Linked DNA regions of Struthio camelus. Each later gene encodes a partner of the first gene's protein in a complex. Links are inferred from orthologs where the notes say so. Each region holds a gene or a part of one and is shown on either strand. Other genes may lie near its edges. The genes, in order: LCK and CD8A.

Region 1 (7,829 bases):
CACCGGTGCTTCCCGCTGCAGCGATGGGGCTGAGGCTGCGCCCGGCGCTGCGGCGGTGACAGCGCCCACCCGGGCCACCCGCGGCTCCCGCCCTGCTTACCCGCTCCGGTCCGCGGCAGCGGCGGGCAAGCTGGCGAGGGCTCGCCGCGTGCGGGCAAGCCGGCGGCGATGCCCCGGCGGGCGCGAGGGCGTGGGAACGGCAGCGCCGTCCTCGCCGCCGCCAGCCCCGACCCACCGAGCGACGGTCGGCGGCAGGAACTGGGCGACGGTCGGTCGGCTCGGCGGCAGGAACTGAGCGGCGGGCGCGGGTGAGGCTCGCAGCCGCAGCTCGGGCTCGGCGCCCGCCCGGGAGGATGTCGGCTTTAAGGTGGCCTGGCCTCGGCGTCGCTGTGCCGGCGGGGACCCGGCCCTCGCCGTGCGGCCGGGGCTGGCGGCGATGCTCCCTAGCCAGGGCGGGATGCTCGGACCTGGCACCGGCAGCGCAGGGAAGCGCCGAGGGCAGCGCGGGAAAAGGGGCAGGAGCAGGGTGGGAAGGGGCTGCGGGCAGCGCGGGAAAAGGGGCAGGAGCAGGGTGGGAAGGGGCCGAGGGCAGCGCGGGAAAAGGGGCAGGAGCAGGGTGGGAAGGGGCTGCGGGCAGCGCGGGAAAAGGGCCAAGGGCACCCTGGGAACCGTAGCATGGGCAACAGCACAAGGGGACACGGGGCTTTCAGCACGGGGGACCAAAGGGAGCTGGAGGCAGCGTCCTTGGGGACCTCTCCAGGTTTTCTGGGGCTGCAGGCGGTGGCAGGAGGTGGGCAGCAGCGGCCGTAAGCTGCCGTCATTCCTGCAGGCCCCGGCTGCAGGGAGCAGCCCTGCGGCTGCTGTGGCCATCGCAGAGCCTTCTGCGCCGGGAAGAGGGGCAGAAGCCGGGCGTAGGGGGTGCCAGCACATTGGCAGCGTGGTGCCTCCGACACCCCCACGCAGCCCTCTACGTGTCTGTGCACACACTAGCTCCGAGCCCCGTGCGGGGCAGCGGGGGGCCAGGCCGAGCCGGTGGCCGGGAAGAGGGGGGAGTGGCGGGGGGCCAGGCCGAACCGGCTCCAGCCCCGGCCCGCGGGGCTCCTGGGGCCGCTGCTCCCTCCCGGCCCGGCAGGTTCCACCTTAACGGCGACGCAGCTGCGAGCAGCAGCTCCAGGGCTGCAGCGACCTGGCGGTGCACAGCTGGCTGCACAGCTGGCGCCGGGGCCACCCAAAGCCCTCCGGGGTGAGCCCGGCAGCACCCCAGGGTGCAGACCCCGGGGTGCCTGGCCCGGGGTGAGCACCCCCCTCCTGCCCGGCACTGAGCCGAGTGCTGAAAGCGGAGCCCGGCGCTGCGGGACGGAGCAGCAGGTTTTTTTTTTTCCTTCCCCATTTTTTTGCTCTGCTCGGAGGTGGCATTCGGGGACCTCGCAGCCCTCCCTCGCTCCCAGCCCGGCGGGAAGTCGGTGTCGGCCCCGTGCCGATAACAGCGCGGGAGGGCAGGAGCGCCCAAGGATAAATCATTCGCGCCCCTGCAGGCCTTGGTGTCCTCATTAATGCTTCCTCCGTGGGGAGTCTCCTCCCAGCTGGAGACAATAACACTAAAAAAGAAACGAAACAAAAAAAAAACACCCCCCCCCCGTCCTTCGCAATTCTCTGGATAAGTAAAGTTCCTGCTTGTTATAATTATCACCGGCGTCCCCAACCTTTATTGTTCTAGGGGTGGATAAATAGCTGCGGCTCACGCACAGCTGGTGGGAGCGGGTGTCTTGCAGCCAGCGCTCCTCACTCTCCTGCGTGCACGAGCGCTTTGGGGGGCAGCGGGGTTTGCACGAGGGCTTTGGGGGGAGCAGTGGTGTTTGCACAAGGGCTTTGGGGTGCAGCGGTGTTTGCACGAGCACTTTGGGGGGAGCAGCGGTGTTTGCACGAGGGCTTTGGGGGGCGGCAGCAGGGTTGCAGCAGGGCGCTGGGGCTCCGCGCGGGCGCTGCCATGCCCTTCAGCCAGCTGAAATTCAAGGAGCTGGGCGAGGAGGAGCCCGGCTCGGACGAGGAGAGCCTGGACAGCGTGAAGGCACTGGCGGCCAAGCTGAAGCTGCAGACGCGGCGGCCCTCCTACCTGGAGTGGAAAGCGCGGGTGCAGGGGCAGCCCTGGCCGAGCAGGGCGCCCGAGGGGGCCGGGGAAGCACGGGGGGCAGAGCGGGTGCCGGCGCGCCCCGAGGAGCTGCCGGCCGGCCGCCTCCGCGGCTTCGCCTCCATGCAGGAGGCTCTGCAGTGGCTCAGGACGGAGCTGGTGAGTGGGCGCCGCGGGGAGTGCAGCTGGGCGGGGGTCCCGAGGGACGGCGGGGGGCGGCCGCGGGGCTGCGCCGGGCTCGGGGCGCCCCAGCTGCGGCTTGGCGCAGGGGCGGCTGCTTCGAGGGGTGCGCGGCGCCCCGTCCCTGCCCGCCTGCCCCGCACGGCGCCTCGCCTGCTCCGCCGCTGGCACGGCCCCGGCGTCAGCGTGGCGCGTCCCTCGGGCCGGCGCGGCCGCCCTGGCCTCTGCAGCGGGTCACCGCAACAGCTGTGCGGGTGCAGCCCCAGGGGCGGCCGTCCCGGGGGCACGGGTGCACGGTGGGGGCGTGCATGCGTGTGTGTGGGCCCCGTGCATGGTACCAGGGAGGATGTGTACACACACATGCATGGGCCCCATGCATGGTGCTGGGGGAGGATGTGCACCCACATGTGCATGGGCCCCATGCATGGTGCTGGGGGGGGATGTGCACACACATGTGCATGGACCCCATGCACGGTCCCGGGGGGGAACATGTGCACCCACATGTGCATGGGCCCTGTGCACAGTGCCGGGGGGGAACATGTGCACACGCATGTGCATGGGCCCCGTGCACGGTGCTGGGGAGGCATGTGCACCCACACGTGCATGGGCCCCCTGGATGGTGCTGGGGGGGAACATGTGCACACACGTGTGCATGGCCCCCGTGCACGGTGCTGGGGAGGGGATGCATGTACGTGGGCCCTGTGCGCAGTGCCGGGGAGGGGAGCGCTCGTGGCCCCCGGAGGGTTGTGGCCCGGCTCCCCTTGCCCGGGGCGAGGGCGGGTGACCCGGGTGGCGGCGGCAGCACCCTGACGGCTCGCTCTCGCCGCGCAGCGGGAGATGCAGGCAGCCGACCAGCTCCTGGCCCGGCAGCTGATGCGCCTGCGGGGGCAGCTGCACCGGCTGAAGGTGGAGCAGGCCTGCCACCGGCACAAGGAGATGCTGGACGACGCCACCTTTGGCCTCGAGGGCTGCGAGGAGGACTCGGACCTGCTCTGCAACATCCCGCCCAAGGCCGCCTTCCTGCTCTCCACGCCGCTCAAGCACATCGGCGTCACCCGCATGAACATCAACTCCCGCCGCTTCTCCCTCTGCTGAGCGCGCCGGACCCCCGGGGGCCCCTCGGCGGCGGGGGGCCACGGTGCAAAGCAGCCCTCCGAGAGGGAATAAAGGAGCTGAGGGCGAGCGGCGATGTCGTTTGCGGAGCCCACCGCCCGGGTCTGTGCCGCGCGGCGGCAGGTGCCCTCTCCAGCATCCTGGCAGCGCTCGGGCCGAGCGGCTGCGGGAGATGCCCCGTCGCTGCCGGGTCGCGGCTCAGCTGGAGCCCGCGGCCGAGGCCGGGAGGCGCCGGGGGCCGAGCAGCCCCGGTGCCCGGCGCCGGCCCTCGGCAAGCAGCGGGCCCCCCGGGCGCCGTTTCCGGCCGCCGTTTCCTGTTCCCAGGACTGCAGCAGGACGCGGCGGGGAGCAGCCGCAGCGCTCCCGTGATGCCGGCGGAGCAGGGCTGGACGCGTGCCCGGCGGGGCCCGGGGCCGCGGGCGCCTGCGCCAGGAAGCGATGCCGGAACCGCGTCGAGGCCGAGCCGGCGGCGGCCGCCGTGCCGAGGGCGAGCGCCCCCGGCCCTCTCCTCTTTCCCGCCGCGTCTCTTCCCGTGGCCTCTCGCCGCGTGGGGCTGCTGGCCGGCCCCGGGCACCGTGCCGGCCGGGCTGGGCCCTCGAGCCGCCGCCAGCGCCTGCCGCGGCCCCCCGGCGCGGGCTGGGCTTCCTGCCCCTGCCTCCGCGCAGCAGCCGGCACCGACCTGTGGCTTTGCCTCCGAGCGCGAAAGCCAAGACAATAGCTTTGCGGTCGCTCTGCTCGGAGCGCTCTCCAAAAACAGGGGGCTGGCGGCGTGGCGCAGCCCTGCAGGCGAGCTGCCCCCAGCCCGCGCCGGCCCCGGCCTGGCGTCCCCGCAGCTCCCGGTGCGGCTGCAGGGGGGCTGCCGCCCTCCGCCCGGGGGCTCTCGTGGCGCCGGGGGACGATCCGGGGAGCATAATAAAATCCTGGCCGCCCCAGCCCCTTGCAGCATGTCCCCCACCCCACGCAAGCCCCCGCTCCCCCTCCGGCCGGGGTCCTGGCGGGGGCGGCCCTGCCGGCTCCGTCCCAGCCCTCGCCGGTCGCCCCGAGCATCCCCGTCTCGCGTCGTTCGCTGCCCGCTCCCGACGCCGTGGGGCCCCACGCTGGGTCCCCCCCTTCCCCGGGCTGCCGCGTTCACGCGGGTGGGCTGGGTGCATCCACCCGGGGTGAGCGCGGGGGGCACCCGGTGCCGGCGGGTGGGAGCCCGGGCGCCGCTGCGCAGCCCGGCCCGGCTGGCAGGAAGCCCCTGGGGTTGGTCGCCAGCACTTGCGGTCGTGCGCGAGCTGTGAACCAGCTTCTCTAGAGTTTGCTCATGAGGCAGGAAACCAGGGAAGGCGGCGAGCGAGCGAGCGTGAGCGGCGGCGGCGGCGAGCGCGCGCCCCAGGCTCTCGCCTCCTCGCCCGGCACCGTCTGCCCGAGGATGGAGAGCAGGGCGTGAGCGGGCACGGCGCCTTCGCTCCCGCTGCCGGGCCATGGAAATCTGAGCGCGGCCGGTCCTCGCCTCGCTGCCGACAGGTACCGGGTGCCCGGGGCGCCCGCGGAGGGGTTGCGCCGGCCCGGGAGCTGGGGACCCCGCGGGAGCCCGGCCGGGGTGGAGGGGGTCCCTTCGCGCTCTCCAAAGTCACCCGGGCGGGATGGAGATGGGGTGGGAGCGACGTCCCGGGAGGGAGCCGGCGGGCGCCGCGGCCGGGCGCAGGCTCAGACACGGCGCCTGGGCGGTCGCGCCGGGCCCGGGGCCGAGGAGAGGCCGTTCCCGGGGCGGCCCCGAGCCCCCCTGCCAGGGCTCCCCGGCCGTGGGTGGCAGCCGTTAGGCACCGGCTGGGTTTCGGTGCCCGTCACCTGGTGAAACCCGGCTGGTTTTGGGCGCTGAGATGCGGCTGCTTTAGGTGCAAACATTGCCGTGCCACAAGGGCAGGAAGGGGCAAGTGCTCGGGTCACCGGCATCTCTGCAAGGCTCGGCGGCGCTGGGGCACCCGGCGGCGCTGGGGCACCCGGTGGCACTCGGGGCCGAGCGACGCGGCCGCCCACGCTCAGGGCTGCGAGCAGCGCCTTCGCCGCTGCCACCGCCCGGCCGCCAGCGAGAGCGGCCCGAGGCGGCCCGGGGAGCGCTGGGGACCCTTGGGGAGCGGAGGGAGGGGGTCAGCCCAGCCGCCAGCCCTCGCCAGGCTTCGCGTTCAGCCACGCGCGTGCTGGCAAAGGCACCAACGCCGGCCTGGCCGAAGAAGCGTGCGCACAGAAACATGGCATCCGGGCTGGCACATGGCAGCTCCTCCAGAACCGGTTGCACACGGGCGGACACGCCGGCAAGCAAACCCAGGGAGCGGTGCCTGCACGCATGCGTGGGCACCTGCATGCATGTAGGGGCACATACACGCGTGGGCACCCACACCCATGTGTGGGCACATGCAGGCATGCGTGGGCCCCTGCACGCACCCGCGAGCGGGTGCAGGCGCCCGCAGGCCGGCAGGCGCAGCCCTGCGCCCCAGAGCCGGGCCCCGGCGCGGGGCAAGGGCGCCTACACACATCACTCGCACGCAGCCTTGACACGAGAAATTCAGTTACACCGATGCAGTTGCAAAACCTGACTTCAAACGCCCCGCGACACGGCATGCCCCTCACGCTGAGCAGGTGAAACGGTTGTTTGGTGGAAATTACTCTGTGGCTTGAGTACATAAAAAAGAAAAATTACACACAGCACCAGCACGCACCTCCCTCCCTTCCCCGGCTTCTTGCACAAAGGAAAAAACACCTCTTGGCACTGTTTGCCTTCGGTGAGCGTGTCAGCGCTCGCAGCTCGCAGGGCTGCTTGCAGGCTTGCGAGGTCGCACGGCTTTTCCTCCGCCGGGGCCGAGGTCTTGCCCCGGTTGGGTCACTCGGGGCCGGCCCCGGGAGCGGACGGAGCCCGCGCTCAGCGGCCCCCGCGGCCCCTCGCCCTCCTCGGGCCGCCGCAGCCCGGCCGAGCGCTCGGCTCCGGGCCGTTAGCCGCCACCAAAGAGCTTCTTCACGTAGGTGCAGCCGGAAGCTGAAAGCAGCCGGGTGTTTTGGGGGGTGTCAGGCGCCCGAGCAGCGCTGGAGGGCACGGCGGGGCTCGCGCGCCCACCCTCTCCGTGCCGGCTGCCGGGGCAGCTCGCGCCGCGGGGCGGATGCGCCGTCCCCCGGCGGCACGGCCGCGCCGAACCCCCTTGTGCTTCTCCATCGCGGGGGCGAGGGAGGATGTCCGCCGTCTTCAAAAACAGCCCGCGGCGCAGCCGCCCCGGCCCGGAGAGGGGAAGACAGGCAAAAATGTCAAAAAATACAGCCCGCGCCCCGGGCGCTGACGTGGCAGCGAGGCAGCGGCTCCGGCGGCGGGTGCTGGGGCCGGTGCCACCCTGGGGACCCCCCCGGTTCCCACGCCCCGGCTGGCTGCTCCCCCCCAGCCCCGTGCGGTTACGCACATGCAAGCGAAACCGCTCGAGGGTCGCGTCCCGCTGCCCTCCAGCCGCCAGCCCGCGTGGCGGCCAAGTTAAATGGACGCTTTTGTGAAAAGCAGAGACGCGTTTTTAAAGGGTGGCACTCTGGGGAAGGGAAAAATAAGGAGAAGGTAGCGTCGGTGTTAGCAGCGCCGGCGGGCATCGTCGCTCCGGCGGGATGGCCCCCTCTCCCCCTTTGGCTGCCGGGACCCCCGGCTTCGTGCCGCGCTCGGCCGCGGCGGGAGGGCGCGAGCCTCCCGGGCGGTTTGCAGCGCCCGGGCGCTTCCTGCGGCGTGCGGCACTGCTGCCCGGCGGCCCCGGCGCCCAAACCGTGCAAACTGGGGGATGCTCGAGGTCCGGGGGGGGGGTCCCCGCTGTCGAGGGGCGAGCTGCCGAGGGGCCCCCGAGGAGCGACTGGGGTTTAGAGCACAGCCCTGATGCAGGAGAAAGCAGAGCCCAGGGGCGCGGGGGTCCGACCCCCCCCAGCCCTCAGACGAGTCGCTCTGCAGGGGACGGGCCCTGCCGGAAAAGAGAGCGCGACGCCAGCGGGAGGGTGCAGCAGCCCTGCGGCCCCGGGGGCTGAGGCGCTAACGGGCCCGGCGGCTGCTGAGCTCGTTAGCGCTGCAGTTTGCAAAGCTCTCGGCCCAGCGCAAGGGTAACGAACGCCCCGGGGGCGAGAAGGAAACTGGGGGTGACGCCGGGGGTGGGTGCGTGGAAGCTCTTCCCGCCGACTGCAGGAGCTGCTTTGAAGGCCAAGGACCTCGTCAAATGCTTGATGCAACGCCACGCAAAGAATTATTAATTGCTAATCGAGTAGTAACGATAGACTGATTAAGTAAAAGGGAGCCGGTAGGAATCAGCCTAAGGGCTGCGAGGGGGAAGGAGCCGCGGCAGGAGGGGGCAGCCCCAAGCCGGGGCGGCCGCAGGGGGAGGCTGCCGGGAGCTCGGGAAGCACCGGCCCGGGG
Region 2 (7,730 bases), on another chromosome or scaffold:
CACGGCTGAAATAAACACAATCAAACGTCACACTCTGGGTTACCGCAACATGATCATCTGCAGGGCTCGAGAAGCACCTGCTCCTCATAAGCAATGTTGTATTGTCGCTTAAGCTGTTGGAACAGAGGTTTTCTTCTTTTCAAGCCTTCTGGCGAAATACCATTAGCAGCAGAAATGACTGACCTGAGAGAGCGTGGTCATTGTGATGTTCCTCTTGTGTCTCCTGACCATCACAATGTAACTCCATGCCCTGAGACAGGCTCCTGCTACCAGGCACACACTCCTATAGGACAGCCATACCACTCAGCTGATGAGATTGTTACTGCTACAAAAAATTCGCTGCATAATTGATTCTTCCATAAAATGGCTAAGACATCAGTCATACCCAAAACTCAGCATATCTGATACCGCAAGTGCCCTCTCACTTCCAGTGTCTTCTCTGTTAAAGGGATGTAATTTTTAACTACTTCAAAGAAGTGTTGATTCCTTTAATTTACAATTTCTGTAAGAGCAGGGAGAGAGACTTAATAGATAACCCATGCAACCCCACTAATGTTTCCAAAAACCGAGATGACCCCCATTCAAAAGCCCACTCTTGAATATATTAGCATTACCGTAAATCTGTGTCCTGGTCCATGTTGGGAAATCTCCCCTGGCTTTACCAACTTAAATCTCCTCAGCAAGTACAGAGAAAACTGATCCTGAACTCACCTCCTGCCAAGCCCCATCCCAAAGACGCTAGCCCTTGTCAGTCTGTCTCTTCCCCATGTGACTTTGTCTCCTCTCCCTTTGCTCACACCTTCTTCTGTTTAGTTGTTGACATATAAATAAATTAAACAGAGATCAAATCCCCCCAACTTCTACATACCGCAAACCTTGCTGTTCCTGTTTCTCACTGCAGAAAGGACTTGCGTACCTGAAAGCTCATCTCTGTTTTCCAACTCTATCAGTGGCTCTAATCATAATTGCACCTCCACCACCCAATCTTGTCTCTCTTACAAAATCAGTTCAATTTTGTTTTACAAACTTGCTTGGATCCTGGGAAAACAATTCTATCTGCAATGAAGGGAAAGATCCCACACACTGATATGCTGCTTTTCTCCTTCACTGTTCCCACCCCATCTTTGCATGTGAGATGACCACATCCGGATCAAGTTTGTGTTATGTCATGGCGTGACTGACACCCCACCAGTGCTCTTGGCAATCACTGGTTTGGCAGGTGAGGATCCAGCAGGGCTAAGGAGCAAAGAAGCTGAGAACAAGTGGATCTGGAACATCACAAATTAATCCAGGTTGGCCTTAGTATATAATAATTCAGTCTCAGTCATAAGCAACATAGGTTAGAGTTCACCAGCAGTCAGAGACCTGCGACCGAACTCAAAAGTAAAATGAAACCTATTGGTAGGTACGGGAGAAAAAAAAAAGTTACCGTCTACTGTCTAACCAATCTGTCTGATCCGTTCACATCTCTTATAAAATGTTCTGTAGAAGTAACTGGTTGTCCAAATTGTCTTTTCTTCCTTAGTCATATCATAACTGTGGCACTGCAACAGAAATTATTAATAAAAACATGTTATTAACACTAGCTTTTGCTGATTTGACGTCTGGCCCTCAGTCTAACAACGACAAGTCTACTGCAGAGCATCATCTAGAGGATAAACTGCCAAACTAGAGCGGGCTAAAATCAAATTAATCTCATTAACCATCTCAACCACCCATTCCAGAGGAGGTGACCAGTGTAAAATACACGTATACTTTCTGCTGAGTTGAAGCTGCCGGACTGATTTGCATTCTTTGCATTCAACATGAGATTCACAGCATTACAACAAGGGACCTCAAAGCACGTACACAGACCTGACGGGGCCAGTCTCACCAGATTTACACCCCTCAGCACGGCAGCACACTGGCCCCAATATAGCTGAGATCAGAGCGCACCACTGTGCTGCTGATCTAAATTATTTATACAGGAGCAGATTTGAAAGTACAGCTTTTCCTAGAGGTCTTGTTTGTGCCTGCAGCTTTTCATACTCAAATAACTACCCTCGCCACTGTTTTAGTTGTACTTACTTGTTACTATAGAAACCCCTTTGTGCTGAGCGATATATACACACAGGGCCAAAAATACAGGATACCCGCCCCAGCGAATGTATTATTTAGGACACAAGAGATGGAAGTGCATAAAAAGGGTGGTTTCAGGCAATCAGACACAGACTTCTCCATGGAAGCAACACTTCCCCGGCTCCTCTTCTGGCCCACGAAGGGCGTCCGTGTTGGAAAGAGATGTATGACAGCCTGGTTTGATCTCTAGCTCTCTACTGACAATACCCTTTTGTCTTGCCCTAAAGGGGTATATTCATTAGGAGCTTACTGTATAAAGGAATAGCTCCCCCTAATGCCATCTCCTGTGCCTCAGCGAGGCTCCCCTCGACAGGACCCGTGCAATGCAGCAAGCAGGCAGCAAAAGAGATGGGGGTTGAAGGCATCTTTCCTGTAGTGGAAAGTCATAAAGCACTTCAGCAAAGAAAAATATCAAAAGGAGTCCTTTGAACTCCAGCATAGCACTCAGGGTCTAAACATGGCACAGGAAAGGGTGGTCTCACAGGGAAACCAGTTCGAGCAGTGAGCTGCGGGGTCCCTCTGCACCTAGGAGAGGAGCCACTGGGCTCCAGTTTGGTATCTGGAGACTGATTCATAAACAAAATATATTGTTCATTATAGAAAGGAGAGAAGGAAGATATCCCTAGTAAAAAAAAAAAAAAAGGCAATAGCCTTCACTAGGTTATCCTTTATTCTAATTATATAGGTCTCCCATCACCATATACCTGAGGATATTAACTCCACAGTATAGGCATGGCAGAGTGCACTTGGGCAGAGCGAGAATCTAGTTCTGATAAACACTGAGTCTCCCTGTTTTGCGTTGCAAAGAACATGTCCTCCAGAAATTAAACATCTGCCAACAGGTTTGCTTTCATCCAAACCACACTGAATAAAGAGAACCATCAATATTCCTACTTTGGCCCTTGGTGGGTTGTACTTTTTAAAATATTTGTGAAATACTTTTGCTTTTGTGTCACAGAGTTGTAACAGTGGTGCAAGCGGGGGGGTCTTGATGTAAGGTAGGAACCAACTCACTTCAGCATCTCCGAAAACATGAGATCCAACTTCAGGCATCTAAAAGGCAGGCATGTAGCTTAAGTTGCTTGTCTAGGTTCCTGCATTAGTAAGTGAGGACAGACACTTCCAAAAGGCACTTTATCCCATTTTAAGAGAAGTGTGAATTCTACTTCGGATAAGGAGAGTAAACCACCCGCTGAAAAGAGAAATAGAAAAGCCTAACTTGGCGTTAGTAAAGAGATGACTTTCCCCTCAAGTCTGAAGTTCACATCTGCTTGATAGGAGTTCTAGATCTGAATCCTTGCAACGTTATTTAACGAAATTGATGTTCTCTTTCATTTTACAAATATCTGTTCCACTCAGGCAGTCATCAGAAGTCTCACAGCCTCACGAAGACATGCATTGTCCAGGTCTTAGCAGGCCCAACAGCAGCTTCCCTCACTCCCTCCAGATGCTTTGATGCCCAGTGAAATAAACCCAGTGCCTAAACCAGCTCTTTCGCTCGCAACCATCGTCTCTAAGTAGCAGCCACAACAGCAGTCGCATCAAAGTTGGCAGGGCCTGGTCTCTGATGTGCCCAGGAAAGGGGGGGGTCTTTCTTTGCAAAGGGGTAACAGAACAACATCTCGCTCAGAGAAAAAAAAAACAACCCCCAAAAAATAGGCAGGAAAAGCAGGAGGGACCAAAATAAGAAGGAAAGAATACAACAGCCCAAAGCCTCTCTGGTGTGGTGAAAAAGTTGCTCTTGTGCTGTGCAGAGCTGCAGGAAGTATAAACCCCTACCCCTGTGCAAGTGGTCACCAGGAGACAGCAGCAAGGGCGCCATGTGTCAAAGAGTGTAAGGGTTTATTTGGCAGGGCGGAAGTCACTGTGGTTGCAGAAGAAAACCTCAAAATGTTAAAAAAAGGCATACCACTGGGACGTGGGGCTTTCTTGATGGGTTTCACATTACACAGACCATCTGCTTTGCACAAAGCAACTTCTGCAGAGAAATTGCAAAGAACAATTGAAAAGGGAACAACTGAGCAAAGGCACCAGAGGAGCCAACCTGCATGTCAGCAAATCTCTTGGAGATTTAAAAAAATATATATGTATGGATACATGCTGTAAAATACCACTGTGGACTTTTTTGCTGTATAATAAGACACAGCGTGCTCTCATGTCCACACTAGACCACTCCAGAGCACACTCTGCCAAGAAATGCAATTTGGGGTCCGCATCAGGGCATGGGACATTTTCATGTTTCCTGCAGAGCTAGACATGATGTAAATCCCCCAAACGACTGGGAGACGGCAATTTACGGTGGCTGATCCCATTTCAAGCACAAGTGTTGTCAGTATTACTCTCTAGTAAAGTGGTCAAGGCAAAAATCCTTGAGACTCCTTTAAAGAAAAAAAAAAAAAGGTAAATGAGCCCAAATATTGATTTAAAGCTGAATTTCTTCAGAAATCTTTTCATACTTCATTCTGCCTTAGATGCTTAGAACTGTCTCCTTACATAAGAGGGTCCTGATGACGTCACATCCTCTCCAAAAAACTACAGTCTCCGAAGTCAACCTAGAAAGATCATCTTTGTGCCGCTGCACCACCCTTGAGGACGGTCACCACTAGGAGCAAATGGCCAGAACTCCGCTGCTGTTTCTGCTCAGTCTGGGTCTCGGTAAGTATGGAAGCAAGGCGGTATATGACCTTGTCCGGGAGCAGAAAGTAAAACGAGAGGTTAAGACGTTCCCCTTTTGTCTGAATCCAATAAACTGGAAAAAAAAAGTCAAAAGGGGGGGAAAAAAAGCAGACCAGAAAGACTAACTTTCAGGTTTGCTTGGTAAACGCGTGAAGTGGAGGTACAGAAAGTCTCAAATCCATCTGTGCAGAGCAGTGAGCAGTGTAGCTCTGGCATTACACCATGGGTAACGGAGCCCAGCCAGATGACTCTTTCTGGAAGGGAGGGAAAAAGGGAGGAAATGGGGCTTTCAGCAGTCAACATTATTAGGGAGTCACTTTAAATAAGTTGGGATACGGTACCATTCCAGAGAAGGCACCTGAAAGGTTCCTCTGAATGGGAGGATCTGTCTTTAAAGATTGGGTGGGTGACTGCTGAGTACCTTCTAAGCATGCTCTCAGCAAGGACTCAAGTGAAATATTTAAGTCAGCCAGATGGCGTGGTCCTCCCTTGGCATTTTACTCCACACCCCGTGTTTCTGCGTAGCACTAACTAGCAAGGAAAAAGGTTTTCCACAAAGACTAAGCCCCAAGAGGCAGATCCCATGCTTCGTCCAGAAGGGACACGGCTTTTCCAAGTGGTTTCGCTGAGGGCGAGCGGACTGTGAAGGGAGACGAGATTTCTCTTCTGCAGGCTGCTGTGGGATCCAGGGCCAGAAGTACAAGATGACAGCCAGGTTTCGGGACAGCAAGATCACACACCCCATTCTGGGGCAGCGGCTGGAGCTGGAGTGTCTGCCTACCGAGAGGGACAGTGGGGTATCCTGGATGCGCCAGGACAAGGATGGCACCCTTCACTTCATCGTGTTCATTTCTTCCCTGTCTCGGACGACCTTTATAGGGAACATGGGAACATCTGCACGCTTTCAGGCAATGAGAGACAGCAGCTTCTACCGACTGGTCATAAAGTCTTTCTCGGTGCAGGACCAGGGAAATTATTTCTGCCTCATTAACAGCAACCAAATGCTGCATTTCAGCAACGGCCAGCCTGCCTTCATCCCAGGTCAGCAACATCTTTGCCCACTTCTGTTTGCTCTGCCAAAACCCCCAACAGCCCTTGTCCATGCCTTTTCTAATCAGAACCATCTCCCATAAACCCCATCTCCTCTGCCTCTTTGCCCAATGCATCTTGTAATCAATACACTGGTCCTTCTGCTGGAGGCTCTCCACTCACCAGCTCTTCTGGTGAACATCTCTGCAGCCCTCCTGTGTGTGCTACATCCCCTTTTCTCTTCATCTTCACTGACCACTCATATTATCAGGGTTTGGGAATCCTCAAATAGGGTGCAAGGTCTATACAACCAACTGTGGTACTGTCCCTGCCCAGAGGCAGAGATGATCGGACGGACCCAGGGTCACCTTCCCACTCCATTCACAGCTCAGAAGGCATAGGACTAAAAGTAAGTCCACAACCACCCCCTCCTTCCCCACTTTGCATAGGCCCTAGAAGTCCTCCCAACCTCAAAGTACTTTCAGCACCTTAAAAAGAAAATCACAAGCAAAGCAGAGGTCATACTTGAGAGGTCATCCTGGCTTTCAGTACACTTTTCCTGATAGCTACTGATAAGATGGGACTCAGATGCTGTAGGGGTTGTAGCAGAAAAGAAGAGATAAGGAGACTGCAGCTCTTGCAGTGTGTTTCTGGGCCATGATCTTGGGAAATCCCACTCACGGGAGTGTTGTTATGGGGGAGCCACAGTCCAAAATGGGCTATGCAAAGTTACCAGAAGCTGGGTCCTGTTCTGGCAGCGGTGGCAGAGCAAAGGGGAGGTAGAGAGCATGCTGGTTTTTCTGTGTTTCACTACGTTCCCTATTCCTCCATTTTCGCCTGCAGTCCCAACCACAAAGGCACCCACCACAGCTGCACCCACCACCCAGGGCAGCCTCACCAAGACAGAGACCTGCCTAAAGACGCCCGCACCAGGTAACGGAGCTGCAGGGAGGGAGAGGGAAGGAGCCAGGCTCTGCTGGGCCTCTCTCAGCCCACATACAGGGGATCCTCCGCACTTGCTGCAAGACCACATGCTGTTGTCCTACATTTTTTCCAGGCCAACAGTGGTGTTTTGGGTTTGAAGAGCCAAGTGCAAAGCCTGTACTGGCTAAAGGCATTTTGGGAATGGGGGGAGAGGGAAGATCCTTTAAGCTTTATCAAAGTTGGATCATGAGGTACACACAGATAAGATTAAAATTCAAGCCCCTGTTTTACTCCACTCCAGAAAGGCTAAGGATGACTTTAAAAGCCCTAGCATGCATCTCACGGCTGGGCACACTGAGAAGAGGGAGAGGTTGAAGGAGGTCAGAGCCCTGCGGGCTGGCGCTCGCTTTAGCCTCAGCAGGGGACGCAAGAAAACATTAGGTTACGCGCCCTCCCTCAGGTCCCCAGGAACCGGGACGACACATGGGCTGTGCTTGTGGACCCCTTGGCGACCAACCCTCCCTTGCGGGACAGGGAAGCCCTCTGCCTCACCTACAGCTAACATCAGCTTCGCTGAAAGCAGGCCGGGTCCCTTGGCTGAGGGTCTCTGCACACCTCCACCAGCGCTGGCCGTAACACCCGTCCCGAGCGCCTAGTGGACATCTCCTCTTCTCTCTCCTTTATCCCTGCAGAGACAAGCAAGCAGAAAGGACTGAATTTCTTCTGTGACATTTTCATCTGGGTTCCCTTGGCTTGCGGCTGTCTTCTCCTCCTCACTGCCCTGGTGATCACCATCACTCTGTGTCAAAGTAAGAGACCTGCGCTTAGCCCCCATCCCACAGATAGCCCTCTAGCCTGAAACCGAAGAGCACGGCTCTGTCCTTCAGGGGAAGGGACGTGCTGCAGCTATTCCCCTTATGCAGGCATGAGCTAACCAGGATGCAGGGAACCCAAAGGGAGGACCACTTTTGAAATCTGTTTCC

The links.
Region 2: the proteins of LCK (region 1) and CD8A are in contact, whole or in part, in an NMR structure (PDB 1Q69), measured with the Homo sapiens proteins. The link is inferred for Struthio camelus from reciprocal best matches to the Homo sapiens genes LCK and CD8A. Residues at the interface, in NP_001036236.1 of Homo sapiens: Cys20, Asn22, Cys23, Tyr25, Pro26, Ile27, Val28; in NP_001139345.1 of Homo sapiens: Arg212, Arg213, Val214, Cys215, Lys216, Cys217.

What each region holds. Positions count from the first base shown.
Region 1 is NC_090964.1:8,587,224-8,595,052, forward strand, and holds the start of LCK (tyrosine-protein kinase Lck), read left to right. Parts: upstream 1-4,800; 5' UTR 4,801-4,930; intron 4,931-7,829. Other genes in the region: myotubularin-related protein 9-like, read right to left, coding at 101-930; protein FAM167B, read left to right, coding at 1,988-2,287, 3,140-3,403. UniProt on the Homo sapiens protein: Non-receptor tyrosine-protein kinase that plays an essential role in the selection and maturation of developing T-cells in the thymus and in the function of mature T-cells. Plays a key role in T-cell antigen receptor (TCR)-linked signal transduction pathways.
Region 2 is NC_090945.1:80,836,517-80,844,246, reverse strand, and holds the start of CD8A (T-cell surface glycoprotein CD8 alpha chain), read left to right. Parts: upstream 1-4,594; 5' UTR 4,595-4,730; coding exon 4,731-4,773; intron 4,774-5,466; coding exon 5,467-5,835; intron 5,836-6,666; coding exon 6,667-6,756; intron 6,757-7,439; coding exon 7,440-7,556; intron 7,557-7,730. UniProt on the Homo sapiens protein: Integral membrane glycoprotein that plays an essential role in the immune response and serves multiple functions in responses against both external and internal offenses. In T-cells, functions primarily as a coreceptor for MHC class I molecule:peptide complex.